4 linked regions of the Sus scrofa genome follow. The protein of the gene in region 2 purifies or fractionates together with the protein of the main gene of each other region. This does not show direct contact. Links are inferred from orthologs where the notes say so. Each region holds a gene or a part of one and is shown on either strand. Other genes may lie near its edges.

Region 1 (5,831 bases), on a different chromosome or scaffold from region 2:
TAAGTAACTTACCTATCTTATTGGGATCATCGCCAGGTTTATTCTGAATAAGAAGATTTTTGGTAGGAAAAATCTGCAACCCACTGGCTCCACCGGCAAAGACCAGGCCATACTTGTTGGACACGGCAAGTAGACTTGAGCGTTCCTTCGGCAGCTCCTCAGGGGAGTCAAAGATTCTCACCTTCTTCAGTGCTCTAAACTGAAAATCCTGTGGTGAGGGGTCAAAACAAGATCAATTCAAGTAAATAGGAAATTAAATCACCTGTCACTATATTCCAGTACGACAAAATACATGTTACCCTGAGGCTAAGTACTGTGTAGCTCAGTCTTCTTTGGGCCATGCCTGCAGCATGTGGAAGTTCCTAGGCCAGGGATCAAACCCACACCACAGCAGGGACCTGAGCCACTGCAGGATCCTTAACCCACTGAGCCATGAGGGAACTCTGCGCGTTTTTAATCTTCCTATGACATTGTGGTACCTGGCATAGTGCTTATTAGTATTTATTGAATAAAATAAATTTTTAAAAACTCATGAAGCTTTTCTTGACTAACCCAGTGAACACTGATCTTTCCCTTTTCTGAATTCCTAGCTTATTTATTTGTCTTTTTGTCTTTTCTAGGGCTGTATCCACAAAATACGGAGGTTCCCAGGCTAGGGGTCTAATGAGAGCTGTAGCCGCCGGCCTACACTTGAGCCACAGCAACACAGGATCCGAGCCGCATCTGAGACCTTCACCACAGTTCACGGCAACGCCAGATCCTCAACCCACTGAACAAGGCCAGGGTTCGAACCTGCGTCCGCATGGATGCCAGTCAGGTTTGTTAACTGCTGAGCCATGACAGGACCTCCTACCCTGTAAACTCAAATTACCAGTATAGTACTCAACAAATATACATGGAGGTGACCACTGAAGGGTAACAAACTCCCAAGAACTGGTTTACCTGCATCAGATGCCTGCTAAACAAAACTCCCGTCACAGATGGGGATGTGTGCAGTCAAACCCTTGGTGTTGAGGCCCAACACGCCCAGATGCCATGAGGACCCTCCAAAACCAAGCCCGAACCCCGGCCACAGGCAGTAAGCAGCTTGGCTTGACCCGCCCAAGCTGAAGCGCCACCTGACAACACTGCTTCCTTTGCACAACTACGCCATCACCCCTGCCACGTCCAGCGCCACCTCCACCCCCCACCTACTCACTTCTGGTTTTCCCTTCCTTCCATTTTCATGCTCCTTAGTGCCTCAGGGCCTGGTAGCCTTCCTCAACCTCCTGTCAATGCCTGACTCATCTAGTCTCCCATGATTTTATCAATCTGTTTTCAAAGAATTTTCAGTATGTACCATCTCTTGGTAAAAAGCGTTCCATATAAGCTTGCCAATAATTAAGTTATACTATATCGGTTTTTATTTTTTTCTTTCTTCAATTCTAATCCAGCTTTAAGTGAAGGTTTTAGTGAAAAGAGTGTGAATCTTCTTTTGCTTACACTCCAAAAAGTATAAAAGTGAAGACAGCCTTTCTTTCTTTTTAGGGTCTCACCTGAGGCATATGGAGGTTCCCAGGCTAGGGGTTGATTCAGAGCTACAGCTGCCGGCCTACACCACAGCCACAGCAACGCCAGATCCAAGCCGTGTCTGTGACCTATACCACAGTCACCGGCAACGCCGAGATCCTGAACCCACTGAGCGAGGCCAGGGGTCAAACCCACAACCTCATGGTTCCTAGTCGGGTTTCCCCTGCACCACGATGGGAACTCTTGAAGTACTCTTCTTAATTTCAACCAAGTATAGGGATCAGAAATCCACATGGCTTTCCAAGTGAGACCACAAAATTGTGAATCTTTTTGTTAATTCTCATCCTGATAATCCCAAATATCCTACCTGGGTCTTGTTTTGGCTTTTTGGTTTGTTTTTGTCTTTTATCTTTTGTCTTCTAAGGGCTGCACTCGTGGCATATGGTGGTTCCCAGGCTATGGGTCCAATCGGGGCTACAGCTGCTGGCCTACACCACAGTTACAGCAACGCCGGATCCTTAACTCACTAAGTGAGTCCAGGGATCAAACCCGAAACCTCATGGTTCCTAATCGGATTTGTTTCCACTGGGCCCCGACGGGAACTCCCCTACTTGGGTCTTGTAACCAGTAACCCAGGAAGGTGGTTGTTCTTAAACCTCTTCATCCTTCTGCCCCAGCATATCTGAGGAACATGGCACACTCACTGGGTGGCTCATCCAGGGCAGTGATTCTCAAGGAGAAAGAGAGCATCACAGCTCTAAACATGGTATGGATTACTACGCTTTAAATGCACTTCAGTGATTAGTTGTTCAGATACCTAAAGTCTTCCTACAACACAGTCCTGTTTTCTTGTGAATTCCCTCTCATCATTTGGCTCAGCTGGCCCGCTCAAGTGTTCTGACTTCAGGTTGATTTCCAGGACCAAAAGAGTCCTCCAGTTCCAGTTAACTAAAGCTCTTACAAGGTTCAGTGATGAACGGGCAAGCCTGGACCACCTTACAGAAGTACTGGCACCTGAGAGAGGGTCTTGAAAACACTAACGACAAACACCTAAATTTCTGCACGCTTGTCAAATGAGGCTTTGGGCAAGTTACTTTCTGAGCCTCAACTTGCTACTCTATATTAACAAGCACTTCGTAAGTTGCTGTGATAATTATCAGTGCCTGGCATAAAGCAAACGCTCGATACACAGTGGTTATGACCACTACTCCGACCACCACATTAGAGTAGGTAGGAGAAGAGTTCCCTTGTGGTCTAGCGGTTAAAGGATCCAGAGTTGTCACTGCAGCAGCTCGGGTTCGATCCCTGGACCAAAAACTTCCGCAAGCCGCGAGCGCGGCCAAAAAAAAAAGCGTAGTTAGGATAACTCAAGAAGCTCAGACAAGACCAACTAGGGCGGCAAAACTGCATTCAGTGGGGCTTTTACGCCGGCGGCACGGCAGAGCTCTCCAGGACGCGTTGGTGAGAACCGTGAGCCCGGCAAACAGTTCGAGCTGCAGGCGGGGGGCGGGGCAGCCGACACTCGCGTCTCGCAGGCAACACCTGAACTAAGAAAGGGGGGGAGGCCCCGGCCAGTGTCTGACCTTCATCTCCCGCTCGGGGATCACGGCGTCCATCTCGTCTCCCATCTCGCCGCTCTCAACTGGTCAAAGCAGCCACCGCGGCTGCCCGGGGCCTCGCCAACACTACCCAGGCGCTTCCAGGCCAACTTCCTTTCTTCAGGTTGAGCAGCGCTCCGCAGATTACGTACTTCCGGCGCGCATTGGTGACGTCAAGCTCCTCGGTCCGCGGACCTGTGAAGGGAGGCTGAGGGCCCTTCTGAAGTCTTGAGCCCTCCTGGCCGCCGCCTCCCATTGGCTGGCTTGGACCGAGTAGGGGGCGTGGCCCGGGAGCTGGGGCGCCTGCGCGCGGGAGGTCCGGTTGCAGCAGCCGCTTTAGCAGGTGGCGCGGTTTCGCTTTCGTTCTTTGAGCGGTGCACCTGCAGGGCCTCCACGCTCGTTTAATGGAAACGACACTGTAATCTGTGGATGTAGGTGGTTATTAATAGCTCCAATTGTAGAGAAGTTAGGAACTTGACAAATACTTCCAAGGGGCAGCTCCTGAGAAGGGCTTTGGAGGCCGGGAGAGTGGAGGGAAAAGTGCGGGAAGTTGGTGAGGTGGGTGTCGCCAGCGAGACTCTTCTGTGTCTAATGGCTGAAAGGGGAGATTAGAGGGCACCAGTGATTAGCTTTGTTTACGCCTTTCAAGGTAATCGTTTCCGGTGCAAGGGCCCAAAAACTGGGCAAAACACTATTTAATTTATGGTTTTTAGGCCCCGCCTGTGTGGCATATGGAAGTTCCCAGGCTAGGGGTCTAATTAGAGCTACAACGGGCAGCCTACACAGCAGGCCACAGCAACGCGAGATCCCCGACCCCACCGAGCCAGGCCAGGGATGGAACCCGCATGGTCCTGGATACTAGCCAGATTTATTTCCGCTGTGCCACAACGGGAACTCCCACAAAACACTTTAGATGTGTTGTTTACTCTTCAGTAGTCACCTAGGGGTTGTCACTGCCATTTAATTGATTGAGGTGACTGGAAGCACAGAGGAGTTAAGAAAATTCCCCAGTGCCCCTCAAGTGGTGAAGGCAGGATTAGAGTTCGGCTTGTCTGAATATACTGATTGCTGACTATGACACAGTCCTACGTAGAGATTTTTGCAGTGGAACTGTAAATGCTCTAGGACAGAGATTCTTAGCTTGGAGGCTGTGATCAGCTCCCGGGAAGATGGGGGGAGGGGTACGTATTCTGTCACTGCTTGGTTTTCAGCAGACTCCTCATCTGCTCCAAGCCTGCTTCTCATTTCTCAAACAAAAATGACATAATGGAACCTTACTCATGGGGTTGCTATGAGAAGCAAAGGAAGTTCAACGTTTAACAGCACCTGGCACACAGGACACATTCTTTTAGTCTGTCACTATATCAGCTAGTGCTTCTCAGTTTACTAAGGCCCAGAACCACCCCCAAAATACACCAATCAAGACGTTGATAAGTTTGTTTTATTTCCATTCTGTAGAGATATCTGGTACCGCACACACTCACATGCATACATACACACATACTGCATCCACCTGAATTTGCCCCATACACTCCCTCCTTTCCAATGGCAGGGGTGAAGCCATATTGGCAGCCCCCAAGTTGCTGGTTATATTAGTTAGATTTGGTCTTTCAGAGAGGAAACAGCGGAACTTCTAAGAAGCTGAGCCCATGGCCAGAAAAATAAGAGTCCTAGAGCTAATGGCCACAACCTGAAATACACACACACACACACACACACACACACACACACACACACACACACACACACACACACACACACACACACACACACACACACACACACACACACACACACACACACACACACACACACACACACACACACACACACACACACACACACACACACACACACACACACACACACACACACACACACACACACCCTTTCCAGGGACCACTCTTGAGACCCAGGAGCTGAGTTCCAAGACACGTGAAGGAACCGAGGGGGTTTCCCAGGACACTCCCTATCCAATGAGGACGCTTTCCCACCCTTTCTAGCAGCTGGGGACATGCCCACCTGCTCTCCTCTCCTTAGGAGGTTTCCTGCAGTCTTGTAAACCTGGGAACCCGCTGAGATAAGCCTAGTTGGTTCTGTGCTGAGTGGCACAGATACACTATGATGGGCAGTCAAAGAAGGCGTTAACCTTTCTAAGGTGTCAGCCAGTCCCAGAGAGGAGAGGCAGTGGGAAGGGGTGGAAACAGGCAGTTGCTCATCTAAGGTGGGAGGGAGAGGAAGGCAGGGGATCGAGTTGGGTGAGATTTTACATTTACAGGGAGGAATGTTTTGCTGGGGTTTAAAATTCAACTAGGCTTACGCATCTGAAGTAGCTTACTTAGGCTGAAGATCAGCCCGTCACGGCCAAATAATCTTGTTTCTGAACTGGTTGAGACCAGCAAATTAATCCATCTGGTTCTCTTCCCACCCCCACCCACTCCACTCCCTCTCGCTGCTGTAAAGTCAGCTCCTCGGGCCCTTGATTATGGATTAAAGGAGCCACGGGGAGCTCACACGGGCTCCAACTCCCAACAGCCCCAGACCTTTCCACTTAAGGTTTTTCGCAGGCTTCCCCAAGACTCTTGCCCAGCCTTGGGCCCAGTTAGGTGGCCACGATTGCAAGGCAGTCACCCCATCTCCTCCTCTTTCCTACCCCTCATCTCACTCATCGTCGCCTGGGTCCAACGTCCCCACGAGGCTCTAAATTCCATGAGTCTGTCCATT
Region 2 (5,218 bases):
TCACTGGGGAACGCCTGGACCACACACCCAAATTCTACTACAAGACAGACATCCTTTCTGACCCTTCCACCATCCTCTCCTAAGTCCTTATCCATCTTATGCTTCCCGTCCCCGTACTTACTTGACATGCACATATCAAGTGATCTGAACTGGGCAAAAAGAAAGGCTGATTCTGGCAGGTCGCAAGGGAAAAAGTACCCGGCAGTGACAGCTGGCCGGTAGTGCTACTTACTCCTCCTTTAGGATGGACTGGATGCACTTCCGCTGGTAGGCACTGAGAGTGATGGTGGGCTTTTGAGGACTTAGTACCTTTTCCATCTTTCGTTGTTGATAGTCTTTTTTCATGGTAACCTTAAGTATTAAAGAGAACAGATACTTTAGCTAGGGTTTGCCATACATGTTCATAGTATCTACTTGAGCCTATTCTTTTTACATTTTATAAAATTGTTTTCTGTAAAAGGAACACTTCAATTTAAAAAGTGCCAAAGGTAGCCACCTTGGGTCCATCCCTACCTGTCGGATGGCATTGCCCAAATGCCGAAGTTGATCAGGTATCAGCTGTAATTCTTTCTTCATGTCTCTCTCACTGTCAGAGAGAACTGGGAGCTGAGAGTGAAAACTGTGAAGTACTTTCTTCATCCTTTAGAAAAGGTGAGCAAACATCTCGGCTTCAGATCGTGGCTCCTTAGCAGGAACATGATGCTGACCAAAGCTCCTCATTCGGGACCGTGGTGTCTCTGAAGGAGGCCCCCATAGGACGGGTGTGGGGGAAGCACCACCGCGCCACCCCCCGCAAGGATACTTCAGAGGGAGGACCGCACGCTCTCAGGACCCGAGCACTTACCACTCGTGGTGCCTGCTCGGGAACTCAGCGTGGCAAGCCCACTGACCTGTTCATGATATCTTCTTGTTTCTCTTTGGCTTCCTCGTATTTGTCAGCTAAGCGCTCAGCCATTTCCCGTAGACTTTTCCTAGTGGCATAAAAAATGGATGGTGACGCCAACTAAGCTGGTTCTGTATCTCAGAGCAAGATACGGTTCCAGTCTGACTCAGCTGTTCCCCACCCCGAGCTCTGGCACGTACCTCTCCTCTCGACAATAACTGAGATCTTCGAGTTGTTTCCTTTTTTGGTCACATAACAGTTTGACCCTTGAAGAACAAAAGGCAATTTAATCAGAAGCCGGTCTTGGCCGTGATACAGCGTCAGTCACCAGCCAGAGCCTGACCGGTGAGTGAACAAAGGCCGTCCTACCTCCGCTGAATCTCCTCCTTCGCCAGGTCCTGCTTAAGAATGTACTGTTCCCTGAACACCTGGGTGGCTCTGCTGATGAGCTGAAGACATTCTTCAGGAGGAGGAGCCGTATCTTTCTCAGACGATCTTTTAAAAAAAAAATCCTACCATCATTTCCTTAGCTGAGTCAAACAACTGAAAACTCAGACATTGCCACTTTTTAACCTGTCCTGATTATCCTTCTCCAGCGCCTCCACACCTCTAGTCTCCCTTCCTAATTACATACGCCCTTTCTCCCAACTTCAACACAGTAAAAAGTATACGAAATGAAAAAGCTGAGGACAGAGAGGATGAACAGTATATGAAAACAGAAGGGAGCCAGTTTTAAACACCTAAATGCCCCAAATCCCGTACTTCAGAAATGCTGGATTTGCAACACTACGTTGCAAAATGCTTCTAATATGTTTTTCAAAAGAATCCGGGGTTTCAGCCAGAATGCGGAGGGGAGACTCTGCAACCTCCACATCATCTCGGGTACAAAGCAGGGGAGGAGACGCTGAATGGACTGTGCTTCTGCAAAATAAATAAAGTTTATTACCATGGAGTTACTTGCTGTCAGCATTAGAGAAGAGCATAAGTTACATTTATCCAGAATTCTGAGACTATAAGAAACTACAAAGTGTTACAAATAAACTCACTGGCAATTTCAGAAAGCTTGAATCAAAGACTGCAAACTTCAACAGAATGCTAAGTCGGTGACTGGGCAATAATTCAAATCTGGGAGTTTGTTAAAACAGCAACATTACTTTATAGACAAATTGTATTTCAGGGAGTTGGCAGAAACATGACTTCTAGATAACGAATATTTAAACGTTTTTCCCCCCCTTTGGGATTTATGTTTTTATCCTCAAGTATCCTAGGATGACTAGGTCTTATTTTATAAGAGTTAGGAGAAGTTTTAAAAAACCATGTTGAGGCAAAAGGCAGTTTTTTGTAGTGATTTTAATACTTTCATTTAGTCTTGCTGGTTTTGAGTTTCTTGTAGCATAAATAGCACAGAATTGATAATTATTTTCCTTTCCAAATTGTATAACTTGTCACTTTTCAAAGAGTTTGGAAATTTTAAGGAGGGTGAATTAATGCCAGAATTTGGAACAATGTTAATATCTAGAAGCACATGCTTTCAGCTGACACCGAGACACAGCGGCGGGAGTGTTCCAGTAAGTACTCCAGGGGTTTGTTAGACTCCTATTTCTTCATTTATAAAACCCAGAGGATGACCTTCCAGGACTGCTGAAAAATGGTCTTATAGCTTAATACGGTTCCTCAAGAGGAACAAGGCCTATGGGTTCGGTTTATTCCACCTTCTTCCAGAGTTAACACAGTCTATGACAGCCCCAAGAGGCTGGCAGAGATGGAGAAGCGGAGAGTCAGAGTACGGACTCTCACGTCGGAAGCCCTGTATTTGCAGCCCAGGTCCACGTGTTACCTGGGGCCTCGGCACCTCCCTCTCGCCTGTTGCCTCTTCTACAAAATGAGGGTGACAAGTGCTGTCCTTACAAGGGTTGCTCTGATTACAGGAGGCAATGCAGGCTTACTTCTGAGCCTGGCACATAGTTAAATTTTGAAATAATTAACTCTAACTCATTGATAACGGAGTTCAGTATTCAATTTTAGTATTCTTTCTGCACTTGGAAGTAAAGGCCTTGACTCTCGGCTTCCCAGAGGAGATGCTGGAAATTCGGCCTAAAATAAACCCTTCCAGAGGTGGCAGGAGCAACAGAAATAACCACCCTTCCAACCCTCCAATCAGAAGCCAGTGTGAACCATGTATCTTTAGGTCAGTTGCGGAGGGCATCTTCCCGGCCCAAACTGGGCAGAGTCAACAAGTGTTACAAGGGGGACATACAGCAGGGGCCTTGTGAGGCACTCGTAGTTACTGGTGATGCAGATCATCGTCGGCCCCAGAATGTCGGGAACAATCCAGAATCCTCGAATCGGAGCTGGCTCCCTGGAAGAACACACAGGCACAGTTAAACCAGGAAGTAGTGAAAGCAGTGGCTCCAACAGCAAAGCTGTGGCCTCAGGCCTAGGCTCACTGTTGCCTCGGAAACAAGATGAGTGCAGCCACCTCACGGCATTGACTTGGAAACCTGAAAAAAGCTGTCACGTGACTTGTGTCACCAAGGACCCACAGCTTCACGGTGCTCGCTGTCACCTCAGCAGTTACAGGGACATGATGAAGCCACTGTACACTGAGCCAAGCACCCGACCCAGACTGAGGGCTCAGAAACTGGCGAGGGGACGTTAGTGTCTTTCTCACATTCAAAATTTAACAGAGGAGTTCCCGTCGTGGCGCAGTGGTTAACAAATCCAACTAGGAACCATGAGGTTGCAGGTTCGATCCCTGCCCTTGCTCAGTGGGTCAAGGTTCTGGCATTGCCGTGAGCTGTGGTGTAGGTTGCAGACGCCGCTCAGATCCAGCGTTGCTGTGGCTCTGGCGTAGGCTGGCAGCTATAGCTCCAATTCAACCCCTAGCCTGGGAAACTCCATATGCCGAGGGAGCAGCCCAAGAATCGGCAAAAAGACAAAATAAATAAATAAATCATTAAAAAAAAAATTTTAACAAAGCCAAAGATGAAAAATAAATGAGAAAAAGGAAATTCAACAGAGCCAACCCCTACGTCACAGGACTTACTGCACAGCTTGCTCCTCCTCGTCTTGGTTCTCAGGTCACTGAAGAGACTGAAAACCGAGGGCCCCAGACAAGAACTCTTTCCGGCCGGCCAGCCCACCCACCCGCGCCTCCCCGCAAGCTCCTTTCTGCCCCAGGACGATGCCCTCTCTCACCTCCTCCAAGAGATCCCGCCACTGTCTAGTTTCCCTGGGCTTATAAACAAGCCCGCATCTCTTCCATCCCAAAGCCTCCCTACCAGACATTTCAAGCTCTCCCCGACCTAGTCCTTCTCCCTTCCCTTTAGAACCAGCAGTCTGTCAACAGTAGCCTGCAGCACGGTCCCTCCACGTCTCTCATTCACTTTTATTTACAGAGGGGAGGGTGGTTTTTTTTTTTTTTTTTTTGGCTTTTTAGGGCCGCACCCATGGCATATGGAGGCTCTCAGGCTAGGGGCTGAATCAGACCTGTAAGCTGCCGGCTTACCCCACAGCCATAGCAACGCAGGATCCTTAACCCGGGGATAGAACCCATATCCTCATTGATACTAGCTGGGTTCATTACTGCTGGGCCACATTGGGAACTCCCAGGAGGTTACATTTTTTATATTTTTGGTGTGAGATCTACCTACAGGGGGGTTCCCATACACATCCTGTCACCACTGTCCAGGTGGAGAATGAGAACAGTGCGGGGACCTAAGATCTCGCTTGTGACCCCCCTGATCAAAGCTTCCAGGAGTTCCCCTCGTGGCTCAGTGGTTAATGAATCATGACTGGAACAATGAGGTTGCAGGTTCGATCCTCTGGCCTCACTCAGTGGGTTAAGGATCCAACATTGCCATGAACTGTGGTGTAGGTCGCATACACCGTCCGGATCCCGCACTGCTGTGGCTGTGGTGTAGGCCCCCCGCTACAGCTCCAATTAGACCCCTAGCCTGGGAACCTCTATATGCCGTGGGTGCAGCCTTAGAAAAGACAAGAAAGAAGAAAAGCTCCCACTTGCCAGAGAAATAATGACAATTGTAGTGTTTATGATACATTCTCGCTCCATTTTATAGCTTTCCCATCTATACACGTATTCACTCCTAAGCAATGCTGTGCATCTGTCTTTGAAATAGATCTAAATGAGATTTTATTGCCTTCTTCCCCATTCATCTTCAACCCAGGCTATCCTCTCCCCTAAAACCGCTCCCCCCTGGTTCTCAGTGAACCCTGTGTGCCGGATCCGGACTCTACTGCTCTGCGCTGCTCTGCTGCTGCCCGCTGCCTCCTCTTTGAAAGGCCCTCCCTGGCATCTCCCCCGCAGATTCCTCA
Region 3 (5,746 bases), on a different chromosome or scaffold from region 2:
TTTTTTTTTTTTTTTTGGTCTTTTGTCTTTGTTGTTGTTGTTATTGTTGCTATTTCTTGGGCCGCTCCCGCGGCATATGGAGGTTCCCAGGCTAGGGGTTGAATCGGAGCTGTAGCCACCGGCCTACGCCAGAGCCACAGCAACGCGGGATCCGAGCCGCGTCTGCAACCTACACCACAGCTCACGGCAACGCCGGATCGTTAACCCTCTGAGCAAGGGCAGGGATCGAACCCGCAACCTCATGGTTCCTAGTCGGATTCGTTAACCACTGCGCCACGACGGGAACTCCCGTACCATTTTTTAAGCCTCAGCCAAAATGTTACTGCCTTGGAAAGGGTGTCCCAGCTCCCCACTGTAAACTAGTCCTCGCTGTCGCTTTTGAGCTCAGCTACTGTTTCCTGCTTATCCCCACACATCGTCATTTGTCTCTTGTCTGTCCCCAGTAGAGTGTGAGCGCCAAAAGGGTAGGCACCACGTCGGTCTTGTTCCCAGCTGTATCCCCAGCACCTAACAGTGCCTGACATATTATAGGTGCTCAGGAAATATTTATTGAAGGAATAAATACACGAATGAATGAATTCTTCTTCTCCCCTGCCCCCTGACCCCAGCTCACTCCATGACTCCACCTCCATTCTTTGCCTACCCTTACCTGCCAGGGGCTCTCCCCCCCCTGGAAGCCCGCCCTCCAGGGCTCCCCCAAGGACCTCATAGGGGCCCAGGGGGGCAGGGGCCAGGGGGAGTTTCCCATAGTCTACGAGCCAGCCCAGCCCGCTAGCTGGGAGCAGGGTCCTGTCCAGCTCCAGCCCCAGGGTCGCCAGGAGTGACATGGCTGCAGCTCGGGTGCGGGGCACAGATGGCAATGAAGGAGGCTGCACCAACAGCTGGCAGGAGGCTCTGGAGATTACTCAGCTGGGCGAAGACGGGCACCAAGGCGAGAGTGGAGGACCTACGAGTGGGAGACAAAAGTGAGTGGGTTAGGGGCCAGCCTCGCCAACGGCCAAGGCCATGGGGAAACCAAGCGATACCCCCTCAGGTCCCCAGGATTCCTTACCTTTTGGGAATTCTACATCTGCCCTTTCTTTCCTCAAATGGGGACCCCACCCATTCCCAAGGGAATTTTCTTTAGGCCCCGACTTACTTTTCCTCAGAATTCCCTAGACCCAATCCTTCCAATATTGAAACATAATGGTGTCCCAGGGGAATTACCTTAAGACCCTCCCACCCACCCCATAATACTATCTCTCATGGAAAAAAAAAAAAAAAAAAAACACAAAAACCTCAATCCCAGGGGAATTTTCTTCCAGCCACACCTCTTGCCCTAAAACATATCCTTTAGGCCCCACCCTGTCCCTAGATTCCTGCTGTGAATCTGTTCCCAGGGGAATCCCCCTGCCCCGCCCCTTCATCAAAATCCTCCATTCAAATCCCATTCTTCCCTTCGAATTTTGCAGTGGTCTCCCGTCCCCCCAAGCCCTGCCCCCTGGTTTATTAGCTCCACCCTCCCCGACGATTCCCAGAGGCCCCGCCTCTTTCTCAATATAAACCCCACCCCCTCAGCGCACGGCGCGCTTAGCCACGCCCCTTCTCCCAAAGGGTACCCCGCCCCCGCCCCACCCTCCGCGACGTCTCTTATCCTAGCTCCCGTCCCTTAACTGGTCGTTTCTAAGCCCCGCCTTCTCCCCCCGCCCCCGCCCCCGTAGTTGCTTGAAAGAAAGGGAGGGAAGACGTGCTTTTACGCCTGAGCAAACTGGAGGGAGGCGGAGGGTGGAGGGGGGCGGGATGAGAACAGCTCCCGACTCCCCCTCCCCCCACCCCCGTACACGGCTGTCTCGCCGAGGGCCAAAGCGCAGGCTCCAGCCCCAGAGCTGTCCTATTGCCCCCGCAAGGCTCCGCCCTCCTCGGGATCAGTGCTGCGCACGTGCGGCTGCTGCTCGTCAGCCCTTTGCTCCGAGATACAAGCGCCGGTGGATCTGAGCAATCGCTGATTGACAGACTCAATCAGAGCGGGGAGGAGGGGGGAAACCCACCCTCTCTGGGAGCTAGTGCGCAGGCGCAAACGCATGTGGTCGTCTTTAAACGCCAACATTGTCTGGAAGAACGCACCCTCCCCCCATCAGCTGAGTGCGCATGCTCCGCAGCGCGCAAACGGAGCGTCTTGTCTCTTCTGCGCCTGCGCGACCGTGATTCCTCACTCTTGTCTCCCCACCCCCCCGAGCCCGGTGGTGAGGGCCGCGAGCTTGGAAAGGGCGGGAAAGACGGTTGGAGAGGGAGGGGCGAGCGAGCGGTTACTCACTCCATGGCTGCGGAAAGAAGAGGCGGCGGTGGCCTCAGCTGAAGAAAGACGGCAGGAGCGGAGAGCGCAGGCGCGGTGAGCACGGCGACTGGCCGGGGGCACAGAGGGGTCGCGGCTACAGAGCCATGGCTGGAGCTACGCGGGCGGAGGAGGTGTCGCGGTACTGTGAGGAGAGATTGTGATCTGAGGATGGGGAATGAGGCGGCCCGGGGGACTGGGGACAGATATACCGGGGGCGGCGCAGCACGGCGTGCCCGGATCCTTCCGCGCCCCGCCCCGCGCTGCCCCAACCGGGAGGCGGGCTTGGCCTCTAGCCCTCGGGGATCCCGGGGACTGTCCCCCACTTCCGACCAGGGCGTTCAGCCCTCCCCTTCCTCTGACCTGAGGATCTGGCCCTGCTTTGCTCCCGACCCCCTGGACCACCCCCACTCGGGTGGGGCCCCTTTCTCCTTCTGATCCGGGGTCCGGCTTTCTGTTCCCTCTCATTCTGGTGGTTCAGCCTCACCTCTTCCCCGATCCCTGCACGAGTTCATTTCTCCTTTCCTTTCTCTTGCTTCACGAATTTCCGGCCAGCCACGTGCTGATCTCTTCAACTGCCACGGCACTCTGAGAACCCTTGTTGTGGCTTAGGATCTGGTTTGAGTCACAGACCGCGCTCCATTCAAATCGCAGACGGGCGCGGGTGGCCTTGGGCAAATAATTTAAATTCTCTAGCCTCGTAGATAGGGAACTACCTGTAAAATGAGAATAATCACCTCTTCCTAGTGGGGTCGTTTGTGAAAATCCGTGCAGTCGGTGTCTGTGAAACCAGCCCTCCTTCATGCCTGGTCCAACCGCTTTTATTATCCATAACAAGGACCTCTGGGGACCAGTCTCACCCCTTCCAACTCCCCTGGCCAGAGCCCCAGACTCGACCATCCAACACCTGCTAATAGATCATTCTTGTGTCTCCTTCGCTCTAGCATCCCTGCCCTCCCCCATTTCAAACGATGGACGCTCAGCCCCATCCTGCTGCCGGGAGCAAGGCATCATTGCCCAGACTCTCGTGTCCATCCCCTGCTGGCTTCCCCTTAGCCCTTATCCTTAGCACGCCTTTCAGGCCCGTTGGTTCATTCTTCTGTCCCTGCCCCTCACCTAGACGTCCTTTCAAATGGTTTTCTACCTCCGTGCACCCCACCCTCACCCCCAGATCAGTTTTCCACCTTTGCCAGACTTAGGGAGATCTGTAGTTCCATTTGCTGAAAGAGATGGGGCTTCCTGGCCAGTCCCTCCCATTACACAGGGCCTTCCACCAGACCCCGTAGACGAGGGTCTTTGCTGCAAGCCCCTCTCCTCCCCCATTCATCCACATCTAGACGTTACACCTGGAGTACAACTTTTCAGGACTTTGGTGGTGGTTATGAGACTGAGTCAAGATCCAAAGGTGGGAGACCCAGATCTTGAGTTACCTGGAATGATACATGGGCCTCTTTTGTTTTGTTCCATGTGCATGTGCTTTTTTTTTTTCCAGTTTTACTCAAGATATAATTAAACTTTATAAATTTAAGGTGTACAGTATAACAATTTGATTACCCATAAGTTTAGTGAACATTTATCATTTCCTGTAGATGTGAAATTAAAGATATAGAAATAGGGAGTTCCCATTGTGGTGCAGCGGAAACGAATCTGACTAGCATCCATGAGGATGCATGTTCAATCCCTGGTCTTGCTCACTGGGATAAGGATCCAGCGTTGCCATGAGCGGTAGTGTAGGTCGCAGATGTGGCTTGGATCTGGTGCTGCTGTGGCGTAAGCCGGCACCTGTAGCTCCGATTCGACCCCTAGCCTGGAACCTCCATATGCCTTAGGTGCAGCCCCGAAAAAGACCCAAAAAAGTAAATAAATAGATACTTAGAAAAAATACATATTTCTTTTTTTCTTTGGCAACTCCATGGCATATGAGTTCACAGGCCAGGAATCAGATCCGAGCCAAAGGTATGACATATGGAAGGGTTTATTCTCTCTCTCTCTCTCTCTTTTTTTTTTTTTTTTTTTTTTGCTTTTTAGGGCCACATCTGAGGCATATGGAAGTTCCCAGGCTAGGGGTTGAAATGGAGCTACAGCTGTCAGCCTACGCCACAGCCACAGCCATAGCTATGCAGGATCCCAGCCACATCTGTGACCTGCATCACAGCTCACAGCAACACCAGATCCTTAATCCACTGAGCAGGGCCATGGATCGAACCTGCATCTTCATGGATCCTAGTCTGGTTCGTTAACCACTGAGTCACAAAGGGAACTCTGGGTTTATTCTCTTAATAACTTTGATATGTAACATACAGCAGTGTTAATTATACTGATCATTTGATATATTACATACCCAGTACAGGCTGCTCTTCCTACAGGAAGCCCTTTTTGGGATCTGACCCCGTTCCCTTAGAGTACTTCCTGTCCACTGTGCCAGTATTTGAGCACTTGTCCTTTGGGGCCACATTATTACCTAGGCGGCATGGAGTAGTAGTTAAGAGCACAGACTCTGGAGGCAAGTTGTTGGATTCACACCCTGACTATACCCCACTTATTAGCTTCCTGGCAGTTTCGCTGTGCCTCGGTTTCCATTAATAGTGCCAGAACAGAAGTCCTCTGGTGGCCTAGCAGGTTGGGGATCTGGTGTTACCTCTGTGGCTCTGGTTATTACTTGGTGAGGGTTTGGTCCCTGGTCGGGAAGTTTTGTGGGCGCAACCAAAAAAAAAAAAAAAAATAGTGCCAGGATAAAAGTGACTAGAAAGTGCCAGGAGTTTAGTGACTAGAAACATACAGAAAGTGCCAGGAGTTTAGTGACTAGAAACATACAGATGTAAGTGGCTGTCCGTAGTGCCTCCTTCTTAGTGTTGTCTGATATTTAAATGAGTAAATCCAGGCCACCTGCTCATAGCCTAGTTCCTGGCACACATCAGGTGCTACATAAGCGGTTTCTGTTGTTACGGAGGTGGATATGTTTTCTCCATTGCTAAGCCGTAGTGCTTTCAAAGGCCTTTTAAGTGAGAAGTAAGGACCTCCTTCTCCTTGCCCTCCTCAGTGTAGGTACTTGAGCCATAGCAGGTAGGATTAGGGTCGACTCTTGGGCAGGCTGTTGGCAACGAGGGGGCACAGTCCCCCCACTCTTCTCTTGAAAAGACCTTCTAGGTCATGACGGGTGGACTAGGCAGAGTATTTTTCTTTGAATAAACTTTTTATTTTGGAATAATTGTAGATTTATAGAAAAGCTGTGAAGGCCGTGCAGAGGAGTAGAAGTCGGTGCCTTTACATTGCCATGGCGCACTTGTCACAACACTGGAGTCAACATCAGCCCCTTTCTATCGCCTCAACTCCACCTGGTCCTCGGATTTGGCCACTTGTTCCCCAACGCCCCTCCTCTGTTCCAGGATCCCCCCAGGATGCCACGTTACACTTAGTGGTCGCGTCTCCTTGGCT
Region 4 (5,688 bases), on a different chromosome or scaffold from region 2:
AAATTAAAGTGTACAAACTCCTTGACTATATACAGTCTTAAAAAAACCTTTTTGGTAATACATCAAACAAAACATTTTTTAAATTTCCAGGTATTCACTGGCAAAGCATATGGCTGTAAAAGCTTGCCAACTGTTTCCCAAACAAAAACAAACTTTATCATAAGAGAAAAATGAACTTCTTCACCTCAAATAATGTACTGGCCAAAACCTACTGGGGTTCATATGCAATGTTACCCTTTTAAGAGGACGCAACTCTAATGTGCTGGCACACTTTCACATTTTTGTTGCCCAGTATTATAAAAATCTTTCCTTTTACTTTTTCTTCAAAGCCAGAGCCACTTATGTCTGATTGGCTATATCAGTACTCCTCAACGTTTTTTGGGTCAAGATGCCTCACAATCAGAGGAACAGGATAGCTCTTGCCAAATTAAAAAATTTGAAAACTTTTCATACAACTGCAGATGATTCAGGACACCCTGAAAGCCACGCCTCAGGTTAAGTACCCTTGGTTTACTGTACTTAGATCCAACAAGGTCAGATGGTCATCTCTACTTCTCCCCCACTTAACCTTTCCAGATCAGGAAATGAGTGGTTAATTTGATTACCTTATGTTTGGACAAACTAGCTTGATAGGAAAAGGGCACTATTTCTTGGCTATTTTACTACGGTTTAAAAATATTCTTAAAAATGGCAGTAATTTCAACTCGAATGTCTTAATGATAATGTCAGTTACGACAAAGTAAAAGTCGGAAAGATCAATCAGATAAAATATAAGATATAATGTAAAAATTGAGAAATTAAGAGTTTAAGGACTTTCATTCAAGTTTTTTGATCCATTGACAACAAAACTGATGAGATTTCAAAAATTTCTACCAGCAGTTACTACCTAACATAATCTTTGACCTAAATATTAATACAAAAAAGGAAATATATATTTCACAAATTAAAGCGTTAAATCTCTCCCCTTCAAGTGTCATGTAATTTTAAAGGATCAGAACAATCTTAAAAATTGAGCCTGAAAAGCAATGTCCACGAAGAATCAAGATCTACATATCAAATGTTCTATGGGGGGGAGTTAATTAAAAACTGAACGAACTTTTCTCCTATTTAGTCCTATCATAATGTAATAGCCAAAACAAAAAATAAAGTAACTATAAAAAGTTTCATTTTCAAGTACATTGTCTTTACAGAGTTCAAGACAAATCCTGTGAAAAAGCAGGTTTAGAATAGAAGCTTCTGTTAAATACAGCAGGGTATGCCACCCTTAGAACTAGCGCCTATCTTCGAAATGACCTACCTAGTCTTAAACTGTACGTAGTACAGAAATGGCGGCTTTCTGGTCAATGCCAAGCACATTTAGTCTCCCAAATTAAATAGCTTCCAAAACATTCTTTCCACCAACAGCAGTGTCCAACGCGCTTAAGATACACAATCAAGCAGATAGCAAAACAGCCAAAGCGGGAGGTGAAAGAAACCACAAAAGCTTTCTCCGTTCCTTGGGACACTCAATGCTAAATTCCACTCACTGCACAGCAAATACAAGGTACTGTCCAGCCATGTGGTGACTCTACAAGTGACTACCAAAATACCTTCACAGCCACTTCAAACTGGCAGCTACACACTGCCAGCTCCCATCCAAAAGCCAAAAAATCATAACCGTTGCTTAATGATAACTACATAGTAGGTCAAAAAACAAGTCGCTACAAGGAGAAAGACTGCTACTTTAGGTGTGTGGGCAATTGCCTGCTTCATTCAGTAGAAACACACCTCACTAAGGCCCGCCCTCCCCTCTCTTCCCACCCGAACCGATCCGCAGCACTTCTAACTATAGCATACTGGAGCACGCACTCACCCCGCCCATACTCGGAGGAGGCATTTAGACCAGGCGCCTGAAGTTCACCGCCCCATTCTCAATGCAGCATGGCCTCTGCGTGATCAGAGGTCCGTGCTGGGCAGATCTTTAATGCTTCCTCTAGTACACCGCTTCCTTCCACCCACCCCAAACTCAGACATCGGAATGAAGCAGAATCAGGATATTGTCCACTGTACAGCGCCAGCAGTAAACGTTTTGATCACTTAACACACTCAAGTCCGTGAAAGCAAAACTACAGCATGGAACCTCACCTGCAGATTCCCCCCCCCCAAAAAAACCAAATAACCTTCCCTACTTTTAATCCTACTTTGCAAAAACCCAAAGATTCTGAGTTTCCCTGCAGGAGGAGCAGGCATCAGCCCCTCCCTCCCGCGATCCCAAGCTCTCCACCGAGGGGCCACGTGATGCAGGCGGACGTTTCAATGCTGCTGCACTAAATATTTCTGGAAACTTCCACTCCTAATAATTTCCTGAGATGTTCCTGAAATCACCCTAACTTCTCCCCGGCCCCTTGGGCTGGGGAAGCCCTTCCACTCCCGCGCCGGGCCCCACTTCACTATCACGCTCCTTGCCTTCCTCCACCGCTACCCGCACACGCGAATGACCCAAGCAAGCGCTCCCCTCCCGCGGCCGCCTCCCCGCCTCCATCCCCCAGCGGCAGAAGCGGCTCCATTCAATCGCAGGCTGTGCTGTGGGCCCGCCGCCGCCTCCCCGGCTCGTCTCCCGCGGCCGCCGCCGCGCCCCACACCAGCCTCCTCCCGCCCGGCCGCGCCGCCGCCCGACCCTCGGCCCCGAAGACACAGTCGACTTACCCAGAGATTGAACCAACTGCTTCTTCCTTCCTTGTCGGGGGATTAGGGCGAGGGAAGATGGGGAGGGGGGGAAGAGGGGAGGAAATCAAGGTGGGTTTCACAGTTTCCCCACCTTAAAAAAAGAAATTAAAAAAAAAACGAAGGCGATAAGGGCAAAAAAAAAAAAAAAAGCTCAATATTTACTATCTCAGGGACACCTCCCCCCGACACACACACCCACCCTCCCCCCCAAAAAAAGAAGGGGAATTAATATGTGGAATAAATGCTCCCGCCTGGCTGGGGCGTGAGGGAAGGGGGAGGGGAACCGGGTCAGGTCCCAAAGATTCAGCCCCAGGGGGACCCTCCAGCCACAGGCGGCAGCAGGAGCGGCAGGAGTAGGGGGTGTAGAGTCCACACGGTCGGGGGACGCTCTGCTGCCAGTTACAGTCCGACTCCCCCCTACCAAAATACGGCTCCCTCTCTCACGCGGCTCCGGTGCTGGGCCCCCCCCACCCAGGCTCGCCTAAACTTTCCCCCCTTCTCTTGCTCCTCAGCGACTGGTGGTTCCCCCCTCCCCCTCTGGGTGGTTGCACGGACTGCAGCAGCAAAGACTGGAACAGGCACCGCCGCCGGGGCTGTAGCTACTGTTGCTCTTGCTGATGCTGTAGCTCCCGCTGCTCCTGCCGCGGCCGCTGCAGCCGCTTCTCCCCCTCCTCCTAGTGCCTCAAACTCGGAACCGGTTGAAACCGGTTCAGACTGGGAGATTCCATCTCGGTTGAGTTTTCAGCCCATGGCGCCGCGGAGCGTTTGGAACCTGGGCCTCCGCCCCCAGTCCGCTTGCCCATTGGCCGCTTCCAGCCATAGCCGCGCCATCAGCCTACCTCCTATTGGTCATATCGCCCATCAATCTCTGCTCTAGGCTCCACACGAGCCCGCCGCTTCGGCCCCCGCCTCTTTCCAGCAGCGATTTGCCCGCAGAGTGGGGGAAGGGAAGTGGGGCGGGTCGCAAAGGAGCGAGGAGGGGGGGTGGAAGAGGAGAAGGTGGGACGAAGAGCTAAGCAGAGCAGAGTAGAGAGCGAAGAGAAGCCGCGCGGAAGATTGGTTCGAGAGGTCTGTCAATCAAATATAGCCCGCCCTCAACTTCCCGTCCTCCTCCCTCCGCTCCCCCTCCCAGGGCTTAGCCCGCAGGCCCGGCCTTTCCGGCCCGTTCATTGGCTGGGCGCCTTTGGTGACGAAGCGGGTGGGGCGCAGCTCGTGAGCTGGTGGAGGCGCGAGTTTAAGCGCGGCGCGCGGCCGCCTGCGTCCGCTCGGCTACTCCCGGACTCGCGTTGGTCGGCCCCCGCCGGCTCCCGCCTAGCTGCAGGGCCTTAACCCGCAGTGGTCGGGACCTGTCCCCCACCCATCGGATGGGGGCTGTGCAAAAACTAGGGCACACCCAGTTTTTTTTTAATCGGAGAGGGGCGGGGTGGAAAAAAGGAGCGAAAACAACACAACGGAGGCCAGTCGTAGGCCCCAGACCGGGTTTGGGGCCGAGATGTTGAGAGGTTGGGGTGAGGTATGGGGCACGCTCCCTTGGCGCCTCTTACTCCTCTCCGAGACGTGGGAAAGTTACCTAAGTAGTTCTTGGGCAAGTCTCCTTCAAATTTTAACTCGCCGTCTCCCCAGGTTGGAATTTGGCTGCTTCAACAACCAATTCTTCCTAAAAATTAAGACACTGTAATCCCTGTAATTGGTTTAACATCCTGTGCTTTTTGCTGGGTAAGCTTGAGTGCCAGCTGCCCTTGATCTTCCTTTACCTTCGCTTTTTCCTTTCGGGTAGTTACCCTTCACAAATTTCATCATCACCAAGTAGTATTTTCTATGAAAGTCACACGCACGTGGCCCTTCACATGGTTGTCTCTCTTGTCCGCAAGTGCCCTCCAAGTAAGCTTTACTGATTGTTCTTTGCTGAAGAAACAGCAAGCAGCCCACCAACATTTAGTAGGCCCATTGTGCCACCAAGAGGTTGATAAATGGTTTATTAAATCACAGTTTTCTTCAGCAAATTCTCACTTACAGTGGACAAAGGCTAATACCCAAACACTGCTTAAGAGTAACTCTCTCACCCTCCAATAGGTTTGCCAAAATGATGTTGGATTACTTTGAGACCTAAGATTTTTTATTCATTGCTTAGCTTGAATGGTATCAAACCAAACTGTATTATGTATGTGACGAATACACTGATCATCTGGAATACTTACATCCTATTACAGGACTGTCCTGTTTTTTAAAAAGTTTTTCCTCCACATTTTCAGCTCTTGCACCAGGCCACTGATTTTTTTAGATGCCAGAACAATGAATAAAAATCGACTGGTTTGTAAGACCTGGCTTTGCTGAGAATGTGACCTTGGGCAAGTCTCTTGACCTCTTTGGGCCTCAGTTTCCTTTTCACTCATTAATGAGACTCATATCATCCATGCCTGTCTCATCTGTATAGAGATCAAATGGGTGTGAAAGAGCAGTGTGGCCCATAAAGCACTAAATAGTCCCAGTTTTCTGTCCTCTTCTTTAGCTCTTCTCGTCTTTAAGTCATATCCCCTAGGAGATCATATCTCTCTGGACCATAGTTAATCAGATGTAAACATTTAGCCCATTATTTTTGCCTAGAGTTAGCCAAAATGGAGTATTCAATATAAACTTATTAACAAGCGCAAAATGAAGTGACTGGAGGAGATAATTCTGTATGATCACTGTGTTTTCAGAATCAATTTCAGAAAACATGTCTGACATATTTAAAATCCTTTTTACATTATCTCCATTTGTTGGAAACAAGACTTCAAAGGTTGAAGTGGGCCATGAATAAGGAAATGTTAATAAACTGTATCAAATGCCTGCCTGCTTGTCTAGCCCTCTGTTAGAGACCTTTCTCAACAATTTTCAATGAATTCTTAACAGCAGCAATGTGAGGTAGTTGTTCTTTTTCAGATCTTGCTCCTGCTTCCTCCGGACCCTCTATTACATGTACTGATGCATTCACACCACCCC

The links. Proteins that work in one complex are often made in the same cells at the same time.
Region 1: the proteins of NUP88 (region 2) and NUP214 purify together in Homo sapiens (affinity purification with mass spectrometry; 6 studies listed by BioGRID and IntAct, counting the BioPlex papers as one, with this or other methods). This does not show direct contact. The link is inferred for Sus scrofa from reciprocal best matches to the Homo sapiens genes NUP88 and NUP214.
Region 3: the proteins of NUP88 (region 2) and NUP62 purify together in Homo sapiens (co-immunoprecipitation; 4 studies listed by BioGRID and IntAct, counting the BioPlex papers as one, with this or other methods). This does not show direct contact. The link is inferred for Sus scrofa from reciprocal best matches to the Homo sapiens genes NUP88 and NUP62.
Region 4: the proteins of NUP88 (region 2) and XPO1 purify together in Homo sapiens (affinity purification with mass spectrometry; 3 studies listed by BioGRID and IntAct, with this or other methods). This does not show direct contact. The link is inferred for Sus scrofa from reciprocal best matches to the Homo sapiens genes NUP88 and XPO1.

What each region holds. Positions count from the first base shown.
Region 1 is NC_010443.5:271,101,506-271,107,336, reverse strand, and holds the start of NUP214 (nuclear pore complex protein Nup214), read right to left. Parts: upstream 3,500-5,831; 5' UTR 3,138-3,499; coding exon 3,093-3,137; intron 209-3,092; coding exon 13-208; intron 1-12. UniProt on the Homo sapiens protein: Part of the nuclear pore complex. Has a critical role in nucleocytoplasmic transport.
Region 2 is NC_010454.4:51,596,320-51,601,537, reverse strand, and holds part of NUP88 (nuclear pore complex protein Nup88), read right to left. Parts: intron 3,243-5,218; coding exon 3,141-3,242; intron 1,805-3,140; coding exon 1,646-1,804; intron 1,379-1,645; coding exon 1,253-1,378; intron 1,150-1,252; coding exon 1,084-1,149; intron 972-1,083; coding exon 891-971; exon of another isoform or gene 845-890; intron 641-844; coding exon 514-640; intron 352-513; coding exon 233-351; intron 1-232. UniProt on the Homo sapiens protein: Component of nuclear pore complex.
Region 3 is NC_010448.4:54,942,207-54,947,952, reverse strand, and holds the start of NUP62 (nuclear pore glycoprotein p62), read left to right. Parts: upstream 1-2,247; 5' UTR 2,248-2,368; exon of another isoform or gene 2,369-2,572; intron 2,573-2,798; exon of another isoform or gene 2,799-2,886; intron 2,887-5,746. Other genes in the region: ATF5 (cyclic AMP-dependent transcription factor ATF-5), read right to left, coding at 650-827. UniProt on the Homo sapiens protein: Essential component of the nuclear pore complex. The N-terminal is probably involved in nucleocytoplasmic transport.
Region 4 is NC_010445.4:80,252,827-80,258,514, reverse strand, and holds the start of XPO1 (exportin-1), read right to left. Parts: upstream 3,500-5,688; 5' UTR 2,686-3,499; intron 1-2,685. UniProt on the Homo sapiens protein: Mediates the nuclear export of cellular proteins (cargos) bearing a leucine-rich nuclear export signal (NES) and of RNAs.